Cricetulus griseus: one gene and its partners. The protein of the gene in region 1 interacts with the protein of each later gene in a pairwise test. Links are inferred from orthologs where the notes say so. Each region holds a gene or a part of one and is shown on either strand. Other genes may lie near its edges.

Evidence for each region.
Region 2: the proteins of Ube2n (region 1) and Mid2 interact in a two-hybrid assay, tested with the Homo sapiens proteins (2 studies listed by BioGRID). The link is inferred for Cricetulus griseus from reciprocal best matches to the Homo sapiens genes UBE2N and MID2.
Region 3: the proteins of Ube2n (region 1) and baculoviral IAP repeat-containing protein 3 interact in a two-hybrid assay, tested with the Homo sapiens proteins (2 studies listed by BioGRID and IntAct). The link is inferred for Cricetulus griseus from reciprocal best matches to the Homo sapiens genes UBE2N and BIRC3.

The regions. Positions count from the first base shown.
Region 1 is NW_023276806.1:161,497,373-161,507,685, reverse strand, and holds the start of Ube2n (ubiquitin-conjugating enzyme E2 N), read right to left. Parts: upstream 5,479-10,313; 5' UTR 5,321-5,478; coding exon 5,291-5,320; intron 1-5,290. UniProt on the Homo sapiens protein: The UBE2V1-UBE2N and UBE2V2-UBE2N heterodimers catalyze the synthesis of non-canonical 'Lys-63'-linked polyubiquitin chains. This type of polyubiquitination does not lead to protein degradation by the proteasome.
Region 2 is NC_048604.1:39,566,760-39,576,972, forward strand, and holds the end of Mid2 (probable E3 ubiquitin-protein ligase MID2), read right to left. Parts: intron 7,328-10,213; coding exon 7,166-7,327; intron 5,696-7,165; coding exon 5,488-5,695; intron 5,120-5,487; coding exon 4,717-5,119; 3' UTR 807-4,716; downstream 1-806. UniProt on the Homo sapiens protein: E3 ubiquitin ligase that plays a role in microtubule stabilization. Mediates the 'Lys-48'-linked polyubiquitination of LRRK2 to drive its localization to microtubules and its proteasomal degradation in neurons.
Region 3 is NC_048597.1:122,235,203-122,245,415, reverse strand, and holds the start of baculoviral IAP repeat-containing protein 3, read left to right. Parts: upstream 1-797; 5' UTR 798-932; intron 933-5,790; 5' UTR 5,791-5,883; coding exon 5,884-6,736; intron 6,737-6,842; coding exon 6,843-6,942; intron 6,943-8,862; coding exon 8,863-8,941; intron 8,942-9,940; coding exon 9,941-9,989; intron 9,990-10,213. UniProt on the Homo sapiens protein: Multi-functional protein which regulates not only caspases and apoptosis, but also modulates inflammatory signaling and immunity, mitogenic kinase signaling and cell proliferation, as well as cell invasion and metastasis.

The DNA of each region.
Region 1 (10,313 bases):
CCTGGCTGTCCTGGAACTTGCTCTATAAACCATACTGGCCCAAAACTCAGGAGATCCACAAGCCTCGACCTCCTGAATGCTGGGATCAAAGGCGAGTGCCACCACACCCTGCTAAAAAATTAAGGCTTTTTAAGATCAGGGTATCAGTGTAACATAAAACTAAAATAGACTTATTTGTTCCCAAAATAATCAGTTCTTCTTTATGATAAATAAATCTCTCACTTTAGTGATACTTTGTGGTCTTTGTTTAGCTTTGAACTGAGAATAAACTCTAATGCCAAATGATGTGGTGGTCCGCACCCTATAATCCCAGGACTCTGGAGGCTGAAGCAAGATCTCAAGTTAGAGGACAGTCTGGGGTAGTTAGGAAGGACTTGTAGGAGAGCAGGGGAGGTTAAAGCTAAAAAAACAACTACAACAGCCAGCATCACCCACCAAAAAATCACATAAGCAAAACTATCAGAACTATTAATATTGCAAGACACAATTTAAAAGCTTTCAACAATTAGTTAAAATCCTAAAAGGCAGCTCTAGAAAAAGTAATTCACTTTGAAGGAGAATTGTTGGCCAGGTGGGTGGAGAGGATATCAAGTATTTACATGAGTAGGGGAAGAAGCAGAACACACATGAACTGAATTACAGTGGTCTTTCTGACAGGACACACCATAAAACACTGGTGTCTGTAGTGAAGAACTGAAACCCAGATAGGCAAAATCTTAATCCTCTCTGCACCCTTTAGAGCTTGTTTGGTCCTAGTCTTCTGGGTTTTTTTTGTTTTTGTTTTTGTTTTTTTGTTTTATGAATTTGGGGGAACACAAGAGACAAGTAAGTTGGCAGAGTGCTTGCCTAGCATGGGTTCAATACTTAGCACCACATAAAACTAGACACAGTGGCACATTTGGAGGCAGGAAATCACCAGTTCAAGGTCATCCTCAGCTACAAATGAGGTTTGAAGTCAGCCTAGTTTACATGAAATCTTGTGTATAAATATATATATATATATATATATATATAAAACTTTTTCAGAAATTGCTGGTTCAAATGAACACTACTAAACACAGTAACAATATCAAATTAAAATATGCAATCATGCTGGTTGGTGGTGATGCACACCTTTAATCCCTGCACTCGGGAGGCAGAGGCAGGCAGATCTCTGCGAGTTAGAGACCAGCCTGGTCTACAAGAGCTAGTTCCAGGACAGCCCCCAAAGCCACGGAGAAACCCTGCCTCAAAATAAAAAAAAAAAAAAAAAATCACAGCTCTTGTAAAACTTTTTACTGGGGGTGGGGCGGATGACAACAGACGGGACAGGCTAGGTGAGTGGTGACGCATGACTTTAGTCCCAGTACTCAAGAGGTAGAGGCAGGCAGATCTCTGTGAGTTCCAGGCCAGCCTGGTCTACAAAGTGAGTTAGTTCCAGGACAGGTTCCAAAGCTACACAGAAACTCCTCTCGAAAAAAACAAAGCAAAAGAACTTTTTACAAATAAATCTCATTGATTATGTTAAATGGTATTGCAGTATCTATCATATATTTGCCAAAGTTTCTCTTGACATTAAGAAGCAATGCCAGGATCACCCAAAGCCATAATACAGCTTTAAAAGTGTTTAAGTGTTAAACAGCAAAAAGGAGGTGACTATGGGGACATAAAAACAAGACAGTTAAAATTAAGATAGCCCTTCTTAGGACAGGTCTTGTGAGAAAATAACACAATATATTATCAAAGTGAGCAAGCCAACAAACACCAGTGAAGCCCCATGATTGGAATAAGCTTAACCATTCACTATCCTAGGGAGAGCAAAGCCAACACTGTAACTGTAGGAAGTGCAAGAGATGAGCTGATCCCAGATAGTATTGCAGGGTCTTGTATTTGGGGGCAGTTTGTCAAGATGTTGATTTTAGTATATAATGGAGAACCACTGTAGTTTTTCTTAGTGCTAATGCAAAAAAAGCAGGCAAAGGACAGATTTGATCAGGGGCTTCAGACAGATGGGAAAATATGCCTAACATAGAAAGTAGAGGCTACAGAATTTCTAATGGATTGAACACAGGAATCTGAAAGAGGCTGCCACTGGGTGAACAGTAACTCAAAAGTCATCTCATTTGGGTATGGTGGCACAAGCCTTTAATCCCAACAATCAGTAGGCAAAGGCTACACAGTGAGACCCTGTCTAAAGTGAAGGGGTGGTTATCTTGTACTTTATTGCTACCAAGGTATTTGTACATACCTTATGTTATTTCCAAGTAAGAAACAGTAAGGAAAGCCATCTGAATCAGTCACTAATTCACAACATTTGAATCAGTCACTAATTCACAAAGTGGCATCAAGGAACAAATGGCTTTAGAAATATACAAATACAATGGCCATCACGAGGTAGAAAGCACCATATTAATAACTCACCAAACCAAACGACTTAATATTTGTGAGATGAGAAGAGTAATATTGCGAGGTATAGTGTCCTATACTTTTAGTTTCAGAACGGGAAGGCAGCAGCAGGGAAATCTGAGTTTGAGGCCAACACAAGTTACATGGAATATTGTCTCAAAATTTAAAAAAAGACTATTAGCAATAGTAAATATTATCCTTTGAAAGCCAAAGTCTACCAAGAAATAAAATAATCCAATAGAAAAAAGTATGTCCCTATGGCTTCATCGACCCTTACCCACTTACTGTTCTAGTCACATAGACCCCAGTATTGTATTAACCTGTTTGAAACAAAGTCTCATATATTCTAGACAGGCCTCAACCCCCTAAGCAGCCAGGGATGATAAACTTCTAAACCCTCCTTCCTCTATTACATTAGAATCATAAGTATAAAACACCATGACAGACAAGTGTGGTGGCACACATCTTTAATCCCAGCACTCGGGAGGCAGAGGCAGGTGGGTCTCTGTCAGTTCCAGGCCAGCCTGGTCTACAGACGAGTGCCAGGACAGGCTCCAAAGAGAAACCCTGTCTTGGGGGGAAAAAAAAAAGTAACACTTAAATACAATACCAAAACTGGTTTGTGTGCAGTATTAAGGGTAGAACTCAGAAAGCTTGCAAGCACCATATCTGAGCACTCTCTGGCCCAAAAGTTACTTTTCAAAATAAATTTTAATGTAAATACGTTTTCTGCTTGAGGTGTTGCTTGGTGGTAAAGCATTTGCAGAGCACATACAAAGTCCTAGCTAGTTTCAATTCAATCCCTAACAGTAGAAAAAGCATATTTTTAACTGATTATAGAACCTACATAATATAAAAATGGATCTAAAAATTATTCTAGGGGGTGTCAGTGGCACACACCTTTAATCCCAGCACTGGGGAGGAAGAGGCAGGAGGATCTCTGGGAGTTCCAGGCCAGCCTGGTCTACAGAGTGAGTTCCAGTACAACCTCCAAAGCTACACAGAGAAACCCTGCTTCGAAAACAAACAAAAAAATTATTCTAATCTCTTAACCTGCCCTATTGATGGGGGAAAAAAAAAAAATCCTTTAAAGCTATAAGTACTGAAGTCAATTAATATTACATAAATTAGAGGTGGGTGCAATAAAATACTGTAAAGATTGTATGTCTCAGCACGAGTTTACCACTACCTTGTTTTAAAATAGCAAAATGGCAACACTGAATATATGCTTAAGCATTGTGTACCAAATGAATTAAACAAGCTCCTCAACATCCTACTTTAAACCATTTCTGTAAATTTATAGCCAATATTCCACAGAATTTATTTTCCCAATCAAGACTTTTGTATTACTGCAGAATATTAATCTTCACAATCAAGCAAAAATCAAAAAAAAAAAAAAAAACTACACCAACTGTTAGGTTCAGTGTGAATTTTAGAGAATTATATTCATTATCAATCTGTGGTATGTTTAGTCCCTAACCAAACAATAAAAACCCGGTGGTCTGGTGGGAAGCAATCATTTTTCAAATGGAATCCTGATTAACATGATCACTAGTGTTCATGTCTCTGTATCAGAATTAAACGAGTCAGGACTTTCCAACGCACGACCTAACAATTAAAATCTACTTTGAAAGAATCTGAGATTCATAATATAGCAGTAAAAGTTTATGTCAAGACTACAGTGCTCGTTGACAATTTATTCTTTCTTCCTAAGAATGTCTTATAAATGGTCTTGTTTTCTAATTTAAGCACCTTTCTGTCATACACCCAACCTCACACCCATTTGTGACTGCCCGAGGGACTAGACAGTGCATCACATCCTTCAAAGGGGCCCTCGATATAATTAGTACAAATCTCGCCCAAAACTTCAGAAGAGTGAACAGTGCTGTAAATTCAAGCTCACTAGATTACAGCAAGCAAAACGAAGCTTCAATATGGGCATATCACTGGCATGGTGAGCAGTGTAGGGTTTTTTTTTTTTTAACTAAATATCCTTCATAAAAACAGATGCCTATCGTGTCTGAAGTCTCAACGCTGTTATGTAAAGACTTCAGAAAATCAAGATACGAGTTTTTTCATGGTTCCATACGTACTCACCAAAACACAGTATTCCTAAAGAGCCTCGAGACCGCTTAGTATACGGAAGGCGCACGAAAACAGAGGCGAACTATTACAGATCATCCCCATAACCGAGATGCTTTGGGCTGAACCAGTGCCTCGGAACAGAAAACAGTTGGCCAAAAAAATAAAGAAAGAAAAGAAAAAAGAGTTTGCCAACCGGAGTAAAATCACTTCGCGGAGATAACCGGCAGCAACGCGGGGAAGCGAACACGGCGGGCAGGACACCCACCCGGGCGCCAAGCCCCCGGCGCCGCCGACCGCGGGCAGCCAGGACGAACATGTGCGGTCGGCGGCTGGACTCGCGGCCCGCGGCCCCGCCCGGTTCTCGGGGCCGGTTCATTCATTCTGCACCCGAGACCGCCGACCAGGAGAAGGGGGCTCCGGGGCGAAGCGGCCAGCCCAGGCCACAACCCACGCCCGGAGTCCAGGCCACGCCGCGATTCCCGCCCGCGGGTGAAGAAAGCCTGGCGAGGCCCGCGCCGGTCCCGCGCCAGACGCCAAGCCCGCAGCCCCGCCCTCCACCCGGCACCGGCACCGGCCTGGCCTCCCGTGCCGCGCGCGGCCTCGCAGCCCGAGAGCCCCCGGCGTCCGGCTTTCAGCGGCGGCCGGAAGTCTCCTCGGCGCCCCCTCCTCAGCGCCCGACTTCCCCGCCGCCGAGGCCAGACCCTTCTCCGCGATGCCTCGGGCCCCTCAGCGGCTGCCGAGTGAAGCGTATGGCCGCGCGGCCCGGCGCGTTGGTGGAGGAGAGCCGAGCGGGAGGCCCGAAGCCCGCCTGGGCGGTTACCTTAATGATCCTGCGGGGCAGCCCGGCCATCTTGTCAGATCCCGAGTTCGGCCTCTGCTCTTGTCTCCGGCTCCGCTCGCCTCACGCACGAGTGGAAGTCCCGGACTCCACTTCCGGGGGACGTCGCCGCGCCCGCCGCCGCTGCCTCCGCCGAGGCCCCTCGGGAAATGTAGTCCCTGCTTGGACGCGGGCTTCGGGCGGCCTTCCGTCCGACCTGATGGCCCCCTCCCCCGCACTCCCCGCCCCAACCCCAGCCGGGGGTGGCGGAAGTGACGCTCCGCGGCGGGGCAGGGACTTGGGGGAGGCGGCGCCAGGCAGCGCCGAGCTGCTTCGCCCGCGGCAGAATCTGCGCGAGACTGGGTGTCCGGCGTCCACGAGTAGCGTACGTGCGACCGACCACGCCTGCGCCGGTGGGCGACGTAACAAAGGCCCGGCCCCCGGCGTAGCTCATTCATTCATTCGTTCCATTTGTTCATTCAATGTTCCCGCATTGCGCGGCGGGCTGACGCTGCGCCGCATCTCCGTCGACCTGGTGATCGGGGGGCTTGTTCCAAACGAGAAGCACTCGATGGCAAAGCTTCTAACTGGGAAACTGGTTGTCAAGGCCCTGACAAATAATTCTAAATGTTTTAATTTCACATAAAAAAAAAAGGGGGGGGGCCTCGCCTGGCGGTGTGGCGCACGCCTTTAATCCCAGCACTTAGGAGGCGGAGGCGGGAGGATCTCTGAGTTCGAGGTCAGCCTGGTCTAAAAAGCAAGTTGCAGGACAGGCTCCAAAGTTACACAGAGAAGCCCTGTCTTGATAAGCAAACAATCAACAAAAAAAGGGAGGGGGGCTCTCCGACCTGTCCCCCACCCCAAAAGGATTTGCAACAAGTAGGGGAGTAATCCCTAAAGGAGTAGGAGTACCTTCAGAGTGAAGGCCCTAAAAGTGGAGGGGTCCCAAAAGGGATTGTTGGGTGTTTTCATTTCTTTTCCTGTTGCTGTGATAAAATATCCTGTAGCACGAATAATAGTTGATATTGATAATAAAAACTCAGAGACAGATATTGAGGTTAAGGCTGAAGATCAGAAAAACAAAGTGGCCAGCCACTAGAGAGTTCTCACCTCTACCAAAGCTCAGAAGGAAGGGGAGATCCTTGTCCTCAGACTGCATTGCTCTCCACCAACCTCTAAATCCAAGCTTTCCTGTCTCCTTCTGCCTTATGATTCCTCTCTCTCCACCTCCCTACAGGTTTTCCTAGGGTGGTGGTGAACGCAGATCCATCTGCCTCTGTCTTCTGGGATTAAAGGTGTGTGCCACCAACTGTCTGGCCTGAATGGCTGTGGCTAGCTTTGCACTCTGATCTTCAAGCAAGCTTTATTAGATCATAAAATATCACCACAATACTCCACAAGGCAACTTAAAGGAAAAGGGGTTAATTTCAGTTCAAAGGGGATAATCACCATAGTTAAGGACAGCTGGTCACATCGAATTTTTCATGCTAGTGCTTACCTCTCTGTTTATACAGCCCAGGTGACAACCACAATTAAGATGGGTGTCCATACATCAATTAAGTCCCCCACAGGCATGCCCAGAGGCTTTTTTCCCTAGGTGTTTCTAGATTCTATCAAGTTAACAACACTAACATACATGGTTTGGTGCCTTCAGGGGCCAGATCCACAGAACTGGACTTAAGAATGGTTGTGAGCCTCCAGGTGGGTCCTCTGCCAGAGAACCAAGTGCTCTTTACTGCAGAACCGTTTCTCCAGCTCCTTTCATGAGACTTAAGGGGCTGTTGCTGCTTCCATTTTAACGTGCTGTTTAGATGCTGTTAACGTTTTCTAAGGTTGTAGCAAAAACAATGCAGCTGCTTTCCCAGGCAGGTCTGCCAAAGCACAGGCCTCACCTAACCCTGGCTGCCAGCACAGTGACACAAAGAGTAGAAGGTGAATGAAAGGGAGAATGTTGCAGCTTGGAGCTGAGTTACCATAGGAGACCAGAGCAAAAGCAGACCATGCCTTCCTGAACTGAAAGAGTCCACTGTGGAAAAGACAGTGATTGCAGGCTAATGTGTGAAGCTGTAACAGGTTTTCCCAGGGTGCTACTGGAACAGAGAGAAGCATTAACTAATGGCCTTAATGATTCAAAGAGGTCTTTAACATCTTAAAGGAGCTCCTAAATCAGCGGTGACCACCCCCCACCATAAAATTATTTTCATTACTACTTCATAGCTGCAATTTTGCTATTGTTATGAACCATAATGTAAATATCTATGTTTTCCGATGGTCTTAGTCAACCCTGTGAATCATTTGACCCCCAAAGGGTTGTGACCCTCAGTTTGAGAATCCCTATCCTAAATGAGGAGTTCTATGAGATATGAAATAGCTTGAGAGCAACCCTGTACTATGAGAAATGAGAGAAAATGCAATAAGGAAAACTCAGAATGTGAGCACAGAAAAACTAGTAAGAATATGAGAAATGTTTTGTGCTGGGTGTGATATTAAATGATCACATGGATTATCTGGTATGCATATGAAGTAGGCACTGTTTGCAGCTCTTGAAAAAAAGAATTTGTGATTTTTCCAGACAGGGTTTCTCTGTATAGCCCTAGCTCTCCTGGAACTCAGAGAGAGATCTGGCTGCCTCTGCCTCCTAAATGCCAGGATTAAAGGTGTCTGCCACCAACAGCTAGCAAAAACAATTTAATTTATGCATATGGATATTTTGTCCCCTTGTATGTGTGTGTACCACAAGGAAGGCCTGGTGCTCATGGAAGCAGATCACATCAGATCCCCCAGGACTTGAGTTGTAGACTCCCTTTGTGAGCCACCATGTGGGAAGGTATTGAGAAGCAAACCCAGGACCTCTGAAAGAGCAGCCAAAGCTCTTAACTGCTGAGCCATCTCTCCAGCCCACATCATCCCTGAGCACTTTTTAGTTGAAAAATAGTGAGAACTTGAAAACAAGAATTTTAAGTAACCAGAAATCTGGGATGGTTGGTTTTTTGCTTTAAAAACCCAGAAAGTAAGTCAGGCAGTGGTGGTGAAAGCCTTTAATTCCAGCACTGGGGAGGCATAGGCAGGTGGAACACTGTGAGTTCCAGACCAGCCTGGTCTACAAGAGCTAGTTCCAGGACAGCCTCCAAAGCCACTGAGAAACCCTGTCTCAAAAAACAAAGAACAACAACAACAAAATCCCAAAAAGTAAATGACCCCAAAGAGATCTTCAGAAGATTTTAGAAAAAGCATGAGCTTTTTTACCTACTGCGGATTTACCCTTGTAGGCAGATAGACAGAGCAACCATAAGATTAGAAATATACACAAATCTGCAGTATGCATTGGGATCCTCGAGGAAGCCGCAACTCTGCCCCATGCTTTATCAGCCTGGACAGCTTGATGATGGCAGAAAAGCGAATTTCAAGCCATCTCACATTGTTGGCAAATTTCTGGTGGTTCCTCTCAAGGGGGATTCTGGAATACTCCCAAGGCCAGGTGGCTGAGCTCCAAGACAACGGGAATTCTGATATGCAAAAGTGGAAGTGGATGACTTCTTAACAGTGAAAGCCAATGGCATCCTAGCATCATAATCGACTGGTCAACAAAAATCCCACTCAGTTCCAAGGAGAGGTGACATAGAGCCTACCTTTGAAAGAATGAGTGTCTGGATTCTATAAACTACCAGAATGTGAATCATGGCACTATGTTTGGGACCAACCTTGGAAAACACTTCTACAGCATGGAAAACTGGTCAGAGTGCCATGTGTCTTAAGAAGATCTTGGAGGCAGGCTAGAAATAGCACCTCTGAATCACTTCCTCCAGACAGTCAAATTCCCTACACCAGTGGGGAAGCATGGGACTGCATCTTATCAGCAAAGATTCGATAGAACCTAATATAACATTTCAGAAAAAAAAAAAAAAAGGTTTTGAACATAAAGTTTTTTTTAAAGGCATGGCTAGGGAGATGGCTCAATGGGTAAAATTTCTTCTATGTAATCATAAGGACCTAAGTTCAAAGCCCCAGAACTCATGTAAAAAGCTGGTCATGGTGTTATAATGCCAGCATTGTCAAGAAAACAAAGACAACATGACTGCTGGAGGTTGCTGCATGCCAGCCTAGCTCCAGATTCAACGAGAGACATTGTCTTAGGGAAATAAGGCACAGAGTAGTTGAACAGGACATCCAGTATCCTTCTCTGGCATCTGCTGTTTACAGCTGTGCATGCCTCCACATACATGTGTGCATACACCATATATTACATACAAACATGTAGGGAGCCGTCCCTGCATTCTCCATTACAAGATGGCGCTGACATCCGCTGCCGGATCAAGTAAACAACGTTGGTATACATGTGCCCAGTGTTTTTCCACTGCCTAGCCCCGCCTATTCCATGGCGTCATATAGGGTGACGAGTCATCCACCTATCCCAGCTGTACACGCATCGCTCAGAGTCTGTGAGCCTTTATTAGGGGACGGGATTCTTGGCTCGGGGTCTCCGCTCTGGTAAGCTTATGCTCTCCTCTCAAGACGCATTAAAGCTTTACTGCAGAAGGATCCGAATGTCCTGTGTGGTTCTTGCCGGCAAGACTATCGCGCGGGACATCTGGTGCCGAAACCCGGGAACTTGTTAACATCGCCGGCACTGCGGAGACCCCTCTAACGCGGCGGATTCAGAACTGCAGGGTGGTAAGTTCGGAGAGGTATGCTTTATTCTGACACCTTCTTTTTTGACTTTGCTTTTAATTTGTCACTACTATGGGATGGATCAGTAAAAGCCTTAATTCTAGTCTTTATTACATTGGTCTTATATTGTGCCCACCGTGGCTGGTGTTCCAGTTCGCAACCAAGCTTACCCCAGGTAGCCTCCAGCATAATGGGCTCTTCAAAACAGAGAGACCTAATTAAAAACTGTCTAGAGATTGAGGCTTGCCGTCCCATGGTAGCAGAGTCAAAAAACGCTTAAAGAGGTACAGGATAATATATCAGAAACCGAACAAGATGAGAGATTAGGAGCTCAAAAAAGAAAGGACATGTCTAAGAA
Region 2 (10,213 bases), on another chromosome or scaffold:
TCCAAAAAGCAAAAGCCTCTCTCTCTCTCTGTCTCTGTCTCTGTCTCTGTCTCTGTCTCTCTCTCTCTCTCTCTCTCACACACACACACACACACACACACTTTATCAAAACCTTAGTTGCAGACAACACCACCCTCATATTTGGTACTCACTCAGGCTACTAACAGGCTATTAAACTCATAGTGTTTCAAGTCTTGTCTCCTTTGTGGATTAACTCCCTTGCGTTTGAGCTTCTTCAATCCATTTCTTTATTACCCTTCATGTTCACTCCACATTGCATGCATGACCTTTCAGTCTCAGTGCAATGGCAGCTCTGAAAAGGATATGTCCAATCCAGGCCCAAGGAGCCTTTTAACTCTCCCAGGTCCTCCTTTCCTCCTATAGGCCAGATGTTTAACAGTAAGTCGGTCAGTCATCTCACTTAATTGTGTTCATGTTCTGGTCTTAACTAATGGATTCTAGCAGTGGGATGTTAACTGTTCTTTAATTCCTGCCTTCTACCACAATATCTGAAGCTAGATGGATCACATTCTCTTGGACCTTCGACCTTCATTTCTTTAGATATTTTGACTATATCCTTATCCTAAAACCAAAGTCTTCATGATTGGACCGAAAATTTAGAACATCCTAGATCTTTACTTGATGAGATCTCTATATTATTGCTGGTGCACGCATGCACACACACACACACACACACACACACACACACACACACACCACTCCCTGAGCCACTTACCCAATTCTGGCAACTCATCTTCCATTTAGTGCTTTCCCCAAATAAATTCCAATGAGAGACAATCAACAACTCATGAATACATATATATTTATTTAATTCATAATATAGCATTTTGGATGGGTTGGGATCTTTAGAGAGGGGTGAGACTGTGTAATCCACAGATGCTCGTATTTCTGTCACTAGGAGAGACACTATTAGTCCAGAGCTCCCAGTACAAACAAGCCTGGGGTAAAGCATTTGATAAAAAATAGTCCAACAATAGTCTAATAAATATTCTAGCCAATAACAATAACACAGCATATTTCTGAAGCTGGCAGACCACATCATAAAAGGCAGTTTTGCCTAACCTGATGGCAATAAATCTGGCCAACTTGTAATGCGCAGCCAAATACAGCCCAATGACTCTCAGGCTGGAATTGGCTTAAGGAGCTACAAATAATTGTGGGAGTGGTTCATGTCTACCTGCCTCACATTCTCCATTCCTTGAAAGAAGGGATTTCAGCAACTGAGCTTATTTAAAAGTCCATCCATAAATTGATCCATCCAGGTAGTCATATACAAATATGTAAACCATGTAAGCTGAGAAAATTCACCTAGAATGCTTGAGCTGAAAAGCATATATAAGTGATTTTGTTGCAATATGAACTTCACTGCATCCAAAGACACACAATGGAATTACATAATAAAACACAGCCAGATGCAGTTACTCTTACAAGTAGCAAGAACATCAATGTGGCATTAAATTTTCTTTCGTATTCTCAAAACAAGCTTAGCTTTATTTTGTGCTTTCTTCAACAAGACAATATAAAAAGTGGAAACAAGCATAAATTGCAGACAGAAAATAATTTTCTAGGAGAAAAAAGTTCTGAATAGTTAGATCGAGTAAAGCAACAACAACCACATTTATTGAATCACATTTCTTGATGATGGTAAATGTAGGTCATGTTCCATTTGTGCAACTGGCTTTAGCTAGTGGTAGCCTCTGGTCCCTGCCATTGCCAGTATTTTATGAAAGTCCTTAAGTTTACTGAAGCAAATATCTGGAACCCATCATAGCCCTCTGAGTGATTTGCCACCATGTTGTTCCTTGGAAAGCATTTCAATTATGTGCCTCAGAAGTTGGGATTTCAGGGGCAAGCTTCATTGCTTACCACAAACCCTATTTAATTTCCCAGTTTATATTTCAGTAGCCTATTTCAGTAGGCTTATCTCTGCCTATAATGAAAACTTAAATCCACCTTCAAAGAACAACAAAGTTCACTGAAGTTCATGAAAACATGAAATGTTATTGGGAGAATGGTACCACATGCTCCAAAGACAATTCTTTATGATAACTGCCAATTTGGAACAGTGTTCATTTGTATGTATAAGCCCTGATACATTTAGAAACTAATATCAATACAGACTAAATAAGTAACCAGCTTGTCCAAGAATAACAAATACCACTAATGGACATCATAGTCAAACAGAGCAATTTTGATTATTCATTTGTTCAGTCATACATTCTTTCAACAAACATTAGCCAGGCAACTACTTTGCTCTAGACACTGTGCTGGGCATTAAAAATACAACAGTAACAAAAGTCACAGTCCTTACCCTCAAGGTATTCCCACTCTAGTCAGGAAGAGAATAATTATACATTAAACTTTTGTGTGAATCAGAATCACCTGAGAAGCTTGTCACAAATGTAAGTTTATGTCCCCAGATAGTCTAATTTAGTGGATCAGGATTAGGGGCCAAGTATCAATTGTTTTAAAGAACAAATCACTAAGGGTGGCTCTAAAATGGGCCTTCTGAGGACGGCATTCTGAAAATGACATTCTAAGAAATACTACCATACAATGTGATTATTGCTGAGACGGGGTGTTCAGTGTGCTCAGGGAGTGCCACAGAGGGCCACATAAGCCAGTTTGAGAGGTCACTAGATAACTGAGAGAAGAAGGGAAAGGTAGTCCCAGGGTGCAGTCAAAAGTAGAATGGGGACTAAAGCTTTGTTCCTAGAACTAAAACTTCAAAGGATACAAAAAATAAATGAATGGTGTTGGAGAAGAAAGGAATGTTGGTGGCACATAGAGTGAATGCCAGGTGCTGTGCTAGGCAACTCCATTTTAAAACCTTTGCTCCAGCCTTATAAAATAAGAATCATTTTACAGAAGTGGAAACAGACTCTGAAAAGTACTTTCCTGAGGTCACATTGCTAGGTAAATGGCAGAGAAGCTAGGACTATCTCAGTCTCCAGGCTGGGAGCTTTCTAATACCACATGCTTGTTACAGCACTTCTGAGCTTTACTGAAGTTGCTCATTCCCTGATGAGTCAGCTGTAAGGTACAGATGATACTGAAAGCCAAAGAAACTGATGCTGTCACTTGACATGTAAATCTGAGCCTTCCTTTTGTTCAGCACTGATCTCGCTTTTCATGGTAGATAAGCAAACAATCTATGTGTTACTTGGTGGGATTTACAGAGATATGTTGTCTTTTGTGAGTAAGAGTGAGTCATTTAACAGCAAGGACTGCATTTTAGTGATATGTGCACTCTTGCAGCAGTAGTGTGGCATCTAATAGCTCATTGAACAAATTAATAAATAAGAATCCACCATGCTGGTAGAAAGCAGGGGAAACACTTGACACTGCAGCAAGGCTTCATACAATCCAGGCAATGACTACTACTATCACTTTACAACTACATAATAGTAATCATTTTACAACTACCAAGGAATGGACTTTGCTCCTGGTATAAGGCTCTATTTCTCTGGCATTTCCAATCTCTGCAAAAATAATTGGTGAAATCACAAACCATGAACCTCGGTTCCTGTTAACTAGTGTGATGACAAGTAGAATAGAATTTATGTTGTCATGAAGGGGATGCTAAGTGAATGAATAATGTAAACAAAATCACACAAGAATGAGTATTGATCCTATTGATGAAAACAGCATTTCAGGAGAGCTTCATCTGAAAATACAAGTACATTTGGACTCATATAGTTGTTGAACCTGTAACACTATTCTTACTGATCAAGTAAGGCGAATTCTGAGGAACCTCCATTATGCAACTCTATTTTTTAGCGTAAGTCTAGTAACTATGTATTTGAGAGTAACAAAACTATATTTCTTTGAAATATTCTATGACAATTTTTAATAATTCAAATAAATCTCCTCTATTAAATAATATCAATGAAATTATGCTACACAGCACACTAGACCAGAATCAATTTTCAATGTAGCAGTAGCATCTCTTAAGCAATCTTGTCCACAGAGCTCTCCTAATCTAACCAAGAGCTCTTCTCACTCCCTGTGTCTTGATTGCATGTGTTTTTATGTGTGACAGGAGGGGGTCTGGGAAGAAAGGCTAAAAGGTAAGAAGAGAAAAACACCAGTCTACTGTGATGTTTCATCTAGGGGATAAGAATGGACAGTATAATTCATTTTCCTTTTCAATATATCTCTCACTTAAATGAACAAATTAAGGTTTATCGTATATATGTAATAGATAAAATGATCTATGCCATTTTGCTCATAAAATGAATTCAGTCATTTTATATATTATATATACACATGTATGATATTCTCATAACACCTTGATTGTTAGTTTATTAAAAAGTGACAAATATGATAATTTGAAACTGTGCAAATTCCATCTGGTCCACCTAGCCACTGCTAGAAAGGCTAATTCTTTCCAATTTCATTTATACTCTCAAACCACTGGGAATTTTTAATTTCCCAATGATGACAGAGATATTCTCTAAAATTCTTCCCCAATGTCATGAACCCAGACTATTCAGATCATTTGTTCTGAGTAACTCAATACATGAATCCAAACATAAGCTTTAATGCACAAAAAATTAAATCTACAATATCTAGTTATTTAGGGTGCTTCCAATGAACTGTATTTTGTATCTCACATATGGAACACTAATGGCGGCTCAAGAGGGGAAGAAATGCTGAAGTGGAGAGCCAGTGAATTACATGCTCTCTTGCCATTTAATGGCAAGCTTTCATCCCAGACACATAGGGGGATTCTTTAGGCCTGCAGTTGCATTCCTGCTGCTCAGGGTAATCAATAAAATCTGGGGCAGGCAAGCCAGACATGATCATGAGGGATTTGTTCCAGATTGTGAATGTTGGACAAACTGGAAGAATGAAGGTCACATCAAAAGTGTGGAGATGGAGCGAGTTAGCTGGGTCATAGAAAGACAGCATGTTGTTGTCATAATCCAAGAGGACACCTAGACGCTTCAGCTGTGGGGGCACATCCACAAGCATTTCCTTGTTGTTATGTCTCACCACGAAGTTACTGTTGCATCGGGAGAAGACCCAGGAAGAGGCATTCTTGCCAATCCACTCATTCTTTGGAGCTGATTTGTAGGCGATACCAATTGCATACCTGAGACAGTGGAGGAGAAGACAGAAAAGTATTTATGGATGATATGAGTTGTGTTAGACATTATTTAGGACCTACGAGTGACTCACTGTGCTTCTTCCTTAAAACATTTATATTTACAGGCATAATGCTAATTATCATCAGATCTTGTAAAGCCAGCAATTAGAGTGATACAGCACTTCAGCTCCTAGCCCACTATATTTTCCATGATTTTTATCTTTTAAAAGCTGGCCAAGTTTTCTAGCACTGGTGCCTATCATATATCTCTTAACCTTGACTTATTGGTATTTTAGCTGTGCGGTAGAATTGAATCTCCTAGGAACCTAACAGCAGAGAAGCTGGGACAAGGAAAGAAAAAAATAGCCACTCACCATGTTGAAGAACCCATGACTACCTCCCAGTAGTGGCAGCCACTGTCAATGAATATATTTCCTGCTGCCCCATAACACCCAGTGCCACTAAATCTCTCTGGGGTATGGCTTTTCTTCAGAGAGCTTTCATCCTTCTCCATCTGCAATCCATCATTGGAGATCTTCAACTTCTTGTGAGTCATTTTGGGATCTAGTTTAAAGGGTTGGCCTGAAAAAAAGTAGAGGAAAGGGGGAAAGCATGATCAAGGATTTAAGAACTGTGCCTTTCCCTCCGGGACCATCATTAGCAGAGGATCCTCAACATGACGGTGATCCTTCGCTAAGTGCAGGTCAGCTGGAGTTTGGATTATATTAAGGAAGCAGGCAAGATGGCACACTTTGCAATTAAGTCAGAATACAAGTCATTCCTCCCCTAAAATAACCTTCATTCAGGCATTATTTTCCATCTGTGTGAAAAATGTGGGGCTCTCATATGAGTGCTATGCTGGAAGCCAGAGTCCAAGCACATGGGAGCTAGTAAAGTATTCCCATCATATGTTATGAAACTAAAAGGGACCACTCAAAGTCTCACATCCTCAAATATGTTTGGTACTTTGGTTTATTTCAGTGAGTGGGTGGGGATGTGGGTAGATTTTTTAAAAGAGTGTTGCAATGTTTGAGGTAGAAAAGCTTGTGTTAATGAGGCCATTGATCACTAAAGAAAAACTGAGAAGAGCTCAGCAACCGGAGATGTTGGCTTTCTAATTGGAGAGTGCGTGTCATTAGTCGACTTTGTTACAGTGACTGCTCCATGGTCGATGATGAAAGATAACATGTGCTTTGCTGCAGAAACTCATAACCCTATGCCAAAAACACTGTCCCAGGCCCCCGGTGCTGGTTAGGGCAAGAGATTTAGTACACAATATGCCTCTGTAACAGACACTGTGTGCTAATACAGTATCCATTACTTATTTTTTTCTCTCTCTCTCACTCAGTCTTCCAGCCTTCCTTGCTGCTAGGGACAGCTAATAAGAAGGACACTGAAGTCAAAGAGACTGGAAGAAATTTCCAGTTAAGCTTCTGTTTCCTAATTAAAAGATTACCAACTTTTCCCTTCTTCCTAGTAAGGGAACTATGACATCAGCAGTTGCACTGGCCATCTTTCGACCTTGTGGGTAAACCAATGCACAAAGAAGGAGCTCCAACCTTCCATGAGATCTCAGAGCTGCTATACTAGCCATGATCAGGCTGCCCTCAAACTTCTTGCTATGTATGTTTAAACACAAACAAACTAACTAAAACAACTAGTAACTTAAGCTACTTGGAAATACTTGTTAAACTGTGTCAGTTGTGACCGAGAACATTCCTAACCGATAGGGCTTCTCTATGGTAGAGCTTTGTAGATCGTCATAAGAAACAACTCTTTAACTGAATTTTTCTCCCAAGCATAGGACCCAGGGGTGGAAGGCAGAGAAAAACCCTTCCCTAACTTCTTTCTAGGCCACAAGCTATTCTATATATCTTAGGCCACAAACATCCATGGGTACCAACAAATCCCATAGACCAAGCATAACAGTAAAGCTCCTCCACTCAGAGCCACTGCTCTCACACATTATAATGGGGGAGTCTCTCAGGCTAACTGTCCTCCCTGGCACAGAGAGGAAAGCTGGTCTTTCCTTCTAGAATCTCCAAAACGTACTGTTTGTTTTTAGCCTGGTGGGTTCACTGTTCCGGCTGCCCGCTTGATTTATGGCTTTCACAATAAAGATGTAGCGTGTCCCACTCTGGAGTCCATGCACTGTGTAATGGTTCTGTTTAATGTTGGGCACAATCATCCAGCTATCCACTGAATTGTACAGGCCTGTGAAGTGGAGAAGACAAAGGCATCAGTCAACAGGGAAAAAAAAAACAGGATTAAAAGGAAAACACCGAAAATCTATTATAACCCACCCACGTGAATTCATTTTGTTTTCTTCTGAGCCTTGAAACATACAATGAGATGAACCAGCGCTTATGATTTCATTATTTATTTGCCATACACTTAGACGTGTGCCAGGCTTCTGGCACCTAGCAACCACTGATCAAAGCTAATTTTTATCATTTTTCTGCCAAAGAACACAAGAATGGTCACTATTCCAAATAGCAGAATCCTCACAATTATGGACTCTCTGGATCTTTACTGCTGAAGTCTGTTTCTGTGAGAAGTCAGTCTGGCCTTGCATGGACCAAAAAGTTCCTGTACAGAGCTCAGCAACATGAAAACTCAGAGCAGAAAGGCCACCTAGGCATGAATGTCCTTCATTTCACAGGGCAAACAAGGATGGAAGGAAAGTGATTTGCCCATGCTCATAGATGGTGTTCTAAGTAGAACACTGATCTTTGTATCCTACACCAGTGATCTGGGCACTACATCACTGGTGTGGGGGGGGGATGAATGACTCTACATAACCCTTTGTCCCTGTAAGATTTCAGACCTATATCACTCTGCTTTCCCACCTCATCTGCACCCTTACTTCTTAATTCGCTGGACTCAAAAAGAAGTCAAGATGACATGACAAAGCAGGACCCAATCTGTTTGCTCTGATGGGACATGATTTTAGCTCTTCCTCGCTTGATTCCGGTATTCATCTGGGGCCAAGTGGTCCACAATTATATTATTGTCCAAAAGATTTTTTTTTCTTCCCAAGCATGGCAAAGGGACTCAAGAATGCTTTGTTTTTAAAAACAATCTTGAGACTACAAATATTAACTTAAACGGAGGGAAATATATGTAGTTAAAAGCAAGTATTTGGCTAGCTTTCAGTAAAATGATTGCTGACGCTCTATTCTCTTGATTTTTTTTTTTTTTGCTTCTGTCTCCTCTTATCTGTTTCTCAATTGCTATACCATTTCAAAACACAATTCTACTTTCTTCAAGTAGAGGGGGAGGAAGGGACAAAGAAAATGGGGACCAAATTTAGTCATTTTCATACAGCTCTAATGAAGGATTTAGTGAGATTAGAAATTAGAAAGCATTGTATTTTACAAGGGATTTTATCAAAAGATTTATAATTAATTTGAGATAGGTAGAAAGGCCTAAATTAGAACTAGAAAGCAAAATGTAAACTGGGGATGGTGGTATATAACTGAAAACCCAGCACCTGAGATGTAGAGGCAGGAGGATCAGGAGTTCAAGGTCAGCCTTGTCTATAGAGCAACTTCTAAGCTCAGTCAAGGCTGTCTCAATACATCAAACAAAAAACCAACCAAAGAAACAAAAATCATAATCGGGAACAAAAAGATGTACTAGAGAAATAGCACCACGAATTGGTTGAGATATTACATGACTTGTGAAAAAAAGGATAAGGGCCACGACAAAGCTTTGATCTAAGTGTATCATCATTGGACAGTATGAGCAACAAAGAACAGAAGAACTTTTATCACATAGAGGAAACTACAGGGTGTCCCAATTTTTTTAAAAAAAATAACAGCTACAAATATTCTTCACAGTGAAGTACCATGTAGCTATTTAAAAAAAAAAAAAAAAAGATTGAGGAGGATACTCTCTGAGCTAGTGGAGAATGATTTCCAATATAGTCAACTGAAAAACTCTATGAAAAACCATATGTATTATATAGCATTTTCAAGGGAAATGTATAATAAATCATACTATTTTCCTGGATTTACAGAAACAATGGACAACCTAGAAAATAATAAAGTTTGTCACTTACAAAGGTAAAAGGGATACCAGAGAAAAGGATAATTCTCTGAGTATACTCTTTGCATATTTTCCCTTTTAAAGAACTTTTCATTAAAATTAAACCAATAAATCCAACTTCAAATTTGAAAAACACATATAATTCAACAAGTTAAATTCAAATCACCACCAAAAACAAAAAAAACAGAAAAGATGGGCCTAACTAAAGGCAAACTAAAACAAATTAAAGCCACTACATTTTAAAGGAATAATGACCATAAAAAATGCAGTTGAGGGGAGCACTGTTTATGTGCTCGGCCACATCCTCAGCCCCTGAGCAAATCAATTCTGAAAATATTTTAGACATATGACAGGATAATGTACTGATGTTGTTGAGACCCAGGAATCGTACCGTGGAGAAAAGAACATACATATGGAATGAGAGGAGGCAAGAAAGAACTTAGGGAGATGAATTAGAATTGGGCAAACCTGATGTGGCTGCACGTCGTCTGGCAGTTTTCAACTCATTCAAACTTTCCTTCCAGGAGATGGAAGGAGGCTCATAAGACCCAGGAGATAAACAAAACATCACCCCTCTGGGGAAATGGAACAGTTTTATAGGAGTAAACAACTTCTGGGGGAGGAGACTGACCAGCCAAGGTGTGGAGGAGAAACCACTGAACTGCCTGAAAACTGTGCTAAGAACTCCAGAGTTGCAATTTTCCTAAGTCATGAGCCATGTCAGGGTGGGATTTTTGGTGATAAAGTTGCTCTTTTGAGCTATCCCTGGTTTTTCAAGTAACCTTTTACCCATACTCTTCTAAGTTACTCCAATAAAAACTCATTGGTTCAGCAAGTTGGACTTTGGTGCAATCATCTTTTGTCTATTGTGAGTTCCCTTTCGTGTGTGTGTGTGTGTGTGTGTGTGTGTGTGTGTGTGTGTGTGTGTGTGTGTGTGTGTGTGTGTGTGTGTGTGTGTGTGTGTGTGTGTGTGTGTGGTGTGTGTGTGTGTGTGTGGTGTGTGTGTGTGTGTGTGTGTGTGTGTGTGTGTGTGTGTGTGTGTGTGTGTGT
Region 3 (10,213 bases), on another chromosome or scaffold:
TCATGCCTGCGCGCATGCATGTGCAGGGCCGGTGGAGGCCAGGAGGGGGGAACTGAAATTTCAGGTGGCTGTGAGCCGCCTTGTGGATGTTGGGAACAGAAGTCCAGCCCTCAGGAAGAACAGCAAGTGCTTTTAGCTGCTTAGCAGTCTTCAGGCCCTCAAACAAACCTTCCAAATACAAGAACCAACGTGGTTCTAACCTCTTTAAAACAAAGTCTCACTATGTCCCTCAGGCTGACCGGGAGTCACAGAGATCCTCCTGCAGTTCTGGTTATTATCTTTAAAACAATAAAAATAACCACGAGGCGATCTACATGGCGTTTTAAAAATGTTCCTCTCATCTCCTTCTTTTTTGTCCAAAACAAAAAGTGAAAATAACCAGAGAGACTTTTACAGCGTTAAAGGGTTTTTTTCCCCTAACGTCAAATATGCTTTTTTTTTTTTTCTTTCTTTCTTTCTTTCTATTCGGCAGTTGTAGACTGGAAAGTTGTGACCTTTTTTTTTTTTTTTTTCTCTGTGAAGAACTTGGGGGCTGAAGCGGGGGCAGGGCCTCTTCCAGGCAGGCCAGCCCAGAGGCTGCACATCTGTTTTCAAGTGAGCTGGCTACCATGAAGTACAAACTGTCAGGAAACGCCTCGGGGACGAGCCGAGCCCAGGAAGTCACGGAAATCCCCGGCCGGCCGCCTGCCACCGAATGAGAAGGAAGTGGTGTGGTTTGCCCCTCGGAGTTCCCCAGCCGGGGAGGAAAGCACCGCGGGCCTGCGCGGGAGGGCGAGCCTGGGCGGGGCAGGGTGAGGCGGGTGGTGGGCGCGGTCCGCCTGGACGATTTAAAGGCGTCGTGACACTCAGCCAACCCCATAGACCGGGCGACAGGTGCCACCCCAGAGATCGGAGGTCCCTGCGGGCGTGCAGAGCCTGAGGAGCGGGCTGCGGTGAGTACGCGCGCGCGCGCGCGCGCGCGCGCGGAGAGCGAGTGAGCGTCCCTGGGGTGGCTCGAGGGTCGCCAGGGTGGCTGGATCTCAGGCCTGCAAAAAACGGCTGCTGTGCACCTCTGGTCCTGCCCACTGGCCCTGGCTGCCCAGAGGCAGCTGGGAGACTTGAGACTGTGAGAACCTGGGCTTGGGGAAGCTTGAGCATGGGAGTGGTTGTTTTCTTAGTAATCAGCCTGGAAGTACACTAGGACTCTTTCTTTTGGGGGAGGGATAGGTGTTGGAGACCACTCGCACACTATAGGTAGGTCCCAGTGGCTTTGAACTCTGGAAAATCCTCCTGCCTTAACCCCTTGAGTGACGGACTTACAGGTCTGAGTCACTGCACCCAGTTTCTCAGTAGTGCTCTTAATCTAGTCAGGAAATGGCTGTGGTCATTTCTCTGTCTACTACATGCCAGGGTCTGCCCTAAAGACTTATGTCACCAACTGTACACTTAATCACCAATTGTAAGCAGTGGGCACCGTTATTAACTCCATTCTGCAACGACAAAACTGAGGTACTTGTGGTTTTTCTGGGCTTCACTGTGTATCCCTGACTGGCCTGGAACTGTGTAAGTAGAACAGGATGGCTTTGAACTCAAGGCAACTTTGATATCTACCTGCCTCTGCTTCCGGAGTGCTGGGATTAAAGGTATGTCTGGTCTCCTGGTTGTTTCCTTTGTAAAAAGGGACTGACACCCGTCCTATGATATGTGACTTAATAAATGAAGGTGCTATGGACATGATGAGCCCTGTCAACTGTGCTAAGAAATTCAACAAGAAGTTTTGCTGCGATTAGTAGTGCAGGCCTGTAGTTGTGGTACTTGGGAGTTCAATGCCAGTCTGGGGTATATGTCTCACACGACAGTTACAAGGCTCAGTGTCTTTGCTCGGCCTGTGACTGTGGCTACTACAGAAACTAAAGTATACTTCCTCTTCTGAAGGAGAAATAGTCCAAGGTGGAGGGAGAAAGACACATTTACCCTGCAGTGTCATACAGCCACCCTTGAGGTCTACAGGAAACGGTAGAGTAAGCAGAGAAGAGACCGGGTTGCCAAGCTGACCCGCAAGGAACCACTGTGAGGGACAGAGGACTCCTACATACTGATGTGGACAGGGGCGGGGATCAGGACAGGTCTAAGAGGAAGTAGGTCCCAGTGGCAGATGGCAACACTTCCTGTGGATTTGATGTTATGAATATGGAGTGTTTGAGGGGTGCTGGCACACAGAATATCTGGTTGTGTGGAGATGTGATTCACAGGCAAATGTTCTTTAGGCTTGGTTGGGAGGACCTGACCCGGGAGAAGCTAGAATAAAAAGCGGTCTTTGAGGTGGTCTTCATTTGGAAGTTGAGAGGGACTCAGCATAAGGACTGTGGCGGGACTAGGGTTGTGCAGTGTTTGAGGAGACGTGAGGCAGAGTCTAGTCAAAGCAGTAGGAGAGAGTGGCTCCATGAGGGGGTAGTTGTTTCTCTGAGGCTGCCAAAAGGCTTGAGACCACAGGCAGGCAGGGGCTGCACCTCTTTTTGAAGAACACAGTTAACTGAGTGAATGTGGCAAAGAGAGATTGGAGGAAGGGGCCGAGGCATGGAGGTATGTTAGGATGTAAAGAAAACAAACCCTCTGTTGCTGGGAAGGTGTCTATGGAAACCAGTGTAGCATCTCAGAAAACTAAACACTGAACTGCCATATGACCCAGCTTTCCCACTCCTTGATAGGTACATGGAGGAGTTTAAGACAGCTTGGGAGAAATTCCTGACTACCCTGTGTCTTAGTCACTGTTCTGTCACTGTGAGGAGACATGACCAAGACAACTTATAAAAGAAAGCTTTCACTGGAGGCTTGCTTATGGTGTCAGAGGCCCACTCCACGATCATCATGATGGAGCATGGCAGTTTGCAGGAAGGGACGGTGCTGGAGCAGTAGCTGAGAGAGAGCTACATCCTGATCCACAAGCAGCAGGCAGAGGGAAAGCCTGGGCCTGGTGTGGGCTTTTAAAACCTCAAAGCCGACCTCTAGTGACACACCTCCTCCAATAAGGACACACCTCCTAATCTTTCCTAAACACTCCACCAACTTGGGACTAAACAGTCAGATATATGAGCGTATGGGGGCCATTCTCATTCAACCCCCCACACTGTTTATTGTATCACTATTCACAACGGGACAGATTGAATGCCTGTTAACAGATAAACGGATGAAGAAAATGTGTTTGTGTGTGTGTACACTGGAGTACTATTCAATTGTAAAGAGAAAGGTATAAGCCCTTCATTAGTAATTCTAATAAAGACAATTAGAATCTGAGTTGGTGGCTCATGCCTGTAACCTCAGAACTCAGGAGGTTCAGGCAGCATACTACTGTTTGAGGCTAGTCTGGGTTACAGACTGAGTACCAAGCTAGCCCTAGCTGTAGCATATCTGTCTAAGACAAAACAAAAAAGGCACGTGAGAAGAGTAAAGTATTATGACTCTTGAAATTACTGCAAAGAGCACTGGGGCTGGAGAGATGGCCCAGTGCAGTCAGAAATAAAAAGGAATTTCTAGTTTTGTAATTTCATTATTGTTATATAAGATGTTAATTTTGGGAAGCTGGGTGCAAAGTATATGTGACATCTGCAAGTTTTTATATATATGCTCTGGTCTGTAACTCATGAGTTCTGTGTGAGATTTCTTGGCTGACAACACCCAGTGCAGCATTGTTTTCTCAGAGTTGGGGACTGAGGTAGGAGTCTTGAGTATGCTATCTGAGTGCCCTACCACTGAGCCCCGCTGACAGCCCGAATTAGCATAGCTTCTTGCTACAGACCAGTTTCTGTTTTGTATAAAGCATCTTAAGGAAAAGATCATGGTGGCACTTGCTTATAATCCCAGGATTTGGGAAACAGACAGGAAAATCATGAGTTTGAGGCTGTCTTAGACTACACAGGGAAATCCCAGTCTCGAAAAAGAGGGAGTAGGGGGAGAAAGAAAAGAAAAAAGACATTGTATTATAAACCTGAGTTGTTTGACTTTAATTTCTCTATTTTAAACAGGTTTACAAAGGACACAAACCCTTCTACTACTTGTAGCTTTTTTTCTGTTTTTTTTTTTTCTGTAAACCAAAACATCTCAAAATGGAGGCCTAAACCCCTTAAAGGGACTTAGTCTAATCTTGGGAGGTAGTTTTGTGCATGGACAGACAAATTCAGCCCTCAGTTGACTTTCGGGACTGTTGTCTAAAGATGCTCATTTGAAGTCTGTAGTCTGATTGTCTGAGGCGTTGAGTATTATGATTTGGTTGTGAACTTGACTCTAGGAAGGGAAGGAGTTCTGTGGCTGGGCACAGTGATGAAGCACTCTTCAGAAAGTTGCCTGGCAATTTCCCACTGGCTGGCACTTTTTAAAAAGTGCCCACATTCAAGAAAGATCCAAACATGAGTGCCGGCTATCCAGAGGAAATGAGTAATCTGCTTTGCACAGTAGTACAGAAGTGTACTCATGAGGTCACTGACACATTCAAAGATTGCAACAATGACAGAGAACAAACAGGAACAAAATGTTCTCGTAGGCACAGCAGATTTAGAGGAAGTAAGACAGACACTACAAGAGAGTTGAGAAACTGTCCACCATTGGTATTTTAAAGGTCTACACAGCACAACTTTTAAATAGACTGTAAGCATGAGAGTTATTTTGGCAGATGAACTAGTTTATTCAGAAAGAAATGTCATAGAACGACCAAGTTTTCATAACCCTGTGGAGGGGACAGAGAGGTTAGACACAATGATTTCTCCTGAGAGAGACTCTTGTTGACAGCTGTGGGATTTCTCCTGCCATTTAGAGATAATGAGTTGGTGTCCTTGGTAGAGAACCTGCCATATCTGTGAACTGCAGGAAGCCACTCCAGCCAGTGGCAGCAAACCCCCATGCCTTTACACAGGATGAATTTGCTAATGGCTAGTGAGTCCTTCTATGAGAGACTCTCAATTTGAAGGTCTCTGTGTTCAGATGGTAATAGACTTGTTTGTTTTGATAAATATGTGCTCAGGGAACACACTCTGTGACATAATTTCTGAGTTTGGGTCTCAAGCCTACATTCGTGGCCCACACCATTAAATCCCAGCACTCAGAAGGCAGAGGCAGACTGATTTCTGAGTTTGGGGTTGAGGCCAGCCTGGTCTACAGAGTGAGTTCTAAAACAGCCAGGACTACATAGAGAAATCCTGTTTTGAAAAAATCAAAAAAAGAAGGAAGGAAGGAAGGGAGGGAGGGAGGGAGGGGGAGAGAGACAGAGAGAGAAAGAAATTGAGAGATTGAGACTTGCTGTAGAACTGAGTGGTACCACACAGGCTTTGTGAGCCAGAGGCCCTGGGCTCAGTCCCCAGTGCTACAGATGAACAAACTCGGTGTTCTAAGTAGTTAGTAAGTCTTGGTCCTTTGAAAGGAAACAAAAACCAAACAAAACTCTTGAAGTGGTTTATTATTTTAAAATCCTGTCTGATCCATGTTTCATTCTATATGAATACATACATAGCTTCATGAACCAGACTTTCATGTGCAGGTTGGGTGAACGCCATTAGTGCCTCCTTGTAGCAAGGAGAAGCAGGCTTGCCCCTCAAGATGCCTGGCCCAAAGTGCCCAAACACTATGTTTCCAGGATGGAATTAAGTTCTATCACACATTGGCTCTTAGGGAGAATCTAGTTTCTATTGTATGCATGAAGATTGTGCAAAGGTATGGTTGTGTGTAATTGTGCCTTAAATGTATCAGGGTAGGATTTAGACTCTCATCCTACTGAATCCTGAAATACATAGAAGAAAAAAAATGAGTTTGTTCTTATTTTAGGTGTTCAGCCTAGTAGTAAAACTGACCAAAAGCCATGCACAAAACTACCTCCCCAGAGGAAGGCTGGTCCCCTCCCCTCCCTACCGATTCGTCATGAACATGGCTCCAGACAGTGTCTTCCTGTCCAAGCTGATGAAGAGTGCCGACACCTTTGAATTGAAGTACGACTTTTCATGTGAGCTGTACCGTTTGTCCACGTACTCAGCTTTCCCCGCTGGAGTTCCTGTATCGGAAAGGAGCCTGGCTCGTGCTGGCTTTTACTACACGGGTGTCAACGACAAAGTCAAGTGCTTCTGCTGCGGCCTGATGCTGGACAACTGGAAACAAGGCGACAGTCCTGTGGAAAAGCACAGGCAGCTGTACCCCAGCTGCAGCTTTGTTCGAACTCTGAATCCAGCCGGCAGTCTGGAAACCAGCCCTCAGCCGCCTCTTCTGTCTGCAGAGCCAAGCGCCGTGCCTTCATTATTTGCAAGTTTGGAGAACACTGGTTATTTCAGTGGCTCTTATTCAAGCTTTCCCTCGGATGCTGTGAACTTCAGAGCAAATCAAGATTGCCCTACTTTGAGGACAAGTCCCTACCACTTTGCAATGAATACGGAGAAGGCCAGATTACTCACCTATCAAACGTGGCCATTGTCCTTCCTGTCACCAGCTGAGCTGGCCAGAGCCGGCTTCTACTATGTAGGACCTGGAGACAGGGTGGCCTGCTTTGCGTGTGGTGGGAAACTGAGCAACTGGGAACCGAAGGATGACGCTATGTCAGAGCATCGGAGACATTTTCCCAATTGCCCATTCTTAAAAGATCCGAGTCAATCCGCTTCAAGATACTCTGTCTCTAACCTGAGCATGCAGACACACGCAGCACGAGTTAGGACGTTCTTTAACTGGCCTCCCAGTGCTCCCGTTCATCCTCAGCAACTTGCAAGTGCCGGCTTTTATTACACAGGTGAGAACCTCAATCTGAGACTCTTAAAGATCCAACATGTGTTATGTTACACATGTGACTGAGCAAATTTTGTGTACTCACAAGTGTGCTTCAAAATGAATTTTAGGACACAGTGATGATGTCAAATGCTTTTGCTGTGATGGCGGGCTGAGATGCTGGGAGTCTGGAGATGACCCCTGGGTGGAGCACGCCAAGTGGTTTCCAAGGTAACTGCCTTGAAATTCTCCTTTACATCTTATAAGATTTTCATGAGATACATTATCTTCCTTAGAGTACCTTTGCCCTTTTTTTTTTTTTTTTTTTTTTTTTGAGACAGGGTGTCTCTGTGGCTTTGGAGACTGTTCTGGAACTAGCTCTTGTAGACCAGGCTGGTCTCAAACTCACAGAGATCCACCTGCCTCTGCCTCCCGAGTGCTGGGATTAAAGGCGTGGGCCGCCACCGCCCCCCCCCCCTGTATCTTTGCTCTTAAGTACTGCAGATTTTGTTTTATTTTTTTATGCATGAGTATTTTGCCTACTCACGTCTAAGCACCATTTTGTGCAGTGCCTGCAGAGGCCAGAAGAGGGCGATGCACCCTCTGTGAGTGGAGTTAGAGAGGGTCTGAGCCAACTCTTGGGAGTTGGGAATCAAACCTTGGTCCTCTGGAAGAACAGCCAGTGCTCTTAACTATTGAGTCATCTCTTCTGCCCCATTACTTCAGATTTTAAACATTGTGAAGATTATGAAGAATATCCCCCCCACCCCCTCGAAAAGCCAAAAAAGAAAAAAAGTATTTACATAGATTTTTTTAAAAAGTGCTTTCCATTACTCTAGTTAAATTTTTTAATACTTTTTTTTGTTTGTTTTATGTGTGTATATTTTGTGAAGGTCAGAGAACACTTTTTGAGGGCTGGTTCTCTCCTTTTATCCTGTGGGACTGAACTCATGTTACCAAACTTGGTGGCAAGTACCCACTGAGCCGTCTCGCCAGCCGCTACAGTAGGAGTCCTGAGCCTGCACCAGCACTGTATGGATTCACTCTGTACTTGCTTTAGCAGGGGATCTCTAATGTAGGGATTGGGAAGCTCATCAACAGAAGGTTGTGCTGAGTGTCCCCATTCTTTCCCTCAAGTCTGTTTGCATGTTTTCAGACCATGACATTGTCACTGAAATGATCACATGACTTATGGAGAGAACTCTCTGCGTCCATGTTGGCTTAGCGGTATTTTTAGAAACCTAAGAAGAATGGAGAGCAGGGAGAAACTCTGAGTAGAGACCTCTTGGTGGCCTTGGCTTGAGGACTGTGCTGGGAGCTCCTCGTGATCACCACTCAGTGGCTCAGCCTTGACAGCACAGAGGCTACTCCTCTCCATGATCCTGCCTTTCGCTACAGCCCCTTCCTCCTTCCTGTGCCAAGTCAATAGTGTGGTGCTTATGTTTGTGTTCAAGCTCCTGAGGAATGTTTACCAGCCTACATAGAATGGCTCCGCCCAATGTGCCATAAACTTTTCAGGATTTTCAAAATTCAGAGAGATATGGTATAGCCTGGTAATAAAACTATAAAACATAAAGTAGTAAAGCTAATTTTATAAAGCAACTGAAGTATATGAAAAGTGCTAGAAGTTAATCAAATTCACCCTCCCCTCAATGGGCAGCACTTGGAGAGATGGGTCAGTGGTTACCGCTCTTGGTTCCCAGCACCCACATTCAGGCAGCTCACAACCACCTATAATTTCAGTCCCGGAGGGCCAGGTGCTTCTCACCTCCATGGGCCTGGCATTCACGTGCATAAACACACACACGGACACAGACATACACACAAGCAAAACAATGAACCTTCATAAAGCCCCATAAGGAAAACAAGCTCACACAGTGTCAGTCCCGGTAGCCCAGGCTTGCTTATTCTCCTAATGTTAGGAATCTGGTCTTTGGTGATTCTGTCACCTGGGTAACCAGATTTCACACAAGGTGAACACCTAGACATGAATGTGTCATTACATTTCACTTCACTTTCTGAAATTAAAATGAGTTTTCAATCATAAAAATGAGCACAATAAAACTACTTGTAGTGGCACTGTCCCTTCTGAGGCTGGTAATGAACAAAGTTGTCTTGTTAAGGAATGCCCAAGGCTTCTTTGCATTTTAGGTGTGAATACTTGATAAGAATCAAAGGACAAGAGTTTGTTGGCCAAGTTCAAGCTGGGTACCCTCATCTACTTGAACAGGTAGGAAAGACCTCTGTTTTCTTTTCAATTATTGCTTCCCAACAGAGAAATTTTATTTATTTTTAAAGGGTTAGTTGTTTAACAAATTATTTTTAAGAATTTGTTTGTAAAATAAATCACAGAGTAATATTTCAGTGAAAAGGTGAAAGTTGTTTTAAAACAGGCCCTCATCTTTTCTTTCAAAAATCAGCATCACCATGCCGGGAGCCATTCTTGTGAGAAAAAGATCTATAATTATTGGCCACATAAAAGACAGTGTTTGTTGTATTCCTCTTTAAGCATTTGTCTAACCAATCATCAATGTATTAAACTCTGAAGCAAAAAATAAATTAAATTTGAGGGGAGATGTCTACCCTGTAGTTTTTTTTGTTGTTGTTGTTTTTTTAAGTTTTATTTATGTATACAGTGTTCTGTCTGCATGTATGCCTACATGCCAGAAGAGGGCACCAGATCTCACTATAGATGGTTGTGAGCCACCATGTGGTTGCTGGGAATTGAACTCAGGACCTCTGGAAGCACAAGCAGCCAGTGCTCTTAACCTCTGAGCTATCTCTCCACACCTGTAAATTTTTCTTCAGTGACTTGAGAAAGCATTTGTTACTGCTCCTTGGAAAAAGCATATGGGAACTTATTTTATAGTCTAAGCTTCAAGAACTTATCAGCCATGGCTAGAGGAACCGAGTGCTGAGTCATCTATCCCAGCAGATGAGTAGGTACAGCCGCTGCAGATGCAAGGCCATCATGTGGCCTCTCCTGAATCCAGCCAGTCCTATCCTGAGGAGGCTCTGCTCACTGCAGCACACTGTCTATTGGATGCTGGTAACCTTGTTCAAACCCCTGGTAAATGTAAATGAAATGATGCTTTTGACTGAAAAAAAAAATGTCTTCTGGATGGCAAAGTGGTTAAGGTAGTAGGTTAAGTAAAGCAGCTTTGTTGGTGATTCTCAGTGCAGTAGTGGGATGCAGTTTACATTTTAACATGTATGTTTTTCCCCATAGCTATTATCTACCTCAGACACCCCAGAAGACGAGAGCGCAGAGTCACCAAGTATGTATAATGACCCTAGTGCATTTAAGTGAACCAGCTTGTAGTAAGAGTGAAGGTGCAGATGTGTGTGGTTGTAATCCAGCATTGGGGAGGTAGAGGTGGAAGGATTGTTGTTCAAGGCCCCATAGAACTACTTGAGACCCTGTCCTAAAAATAAACAGAAAGGTTATAATGGTAAATGCAGATTCGTGTTGATCTACAATTTATAATTAATACACCCTGTT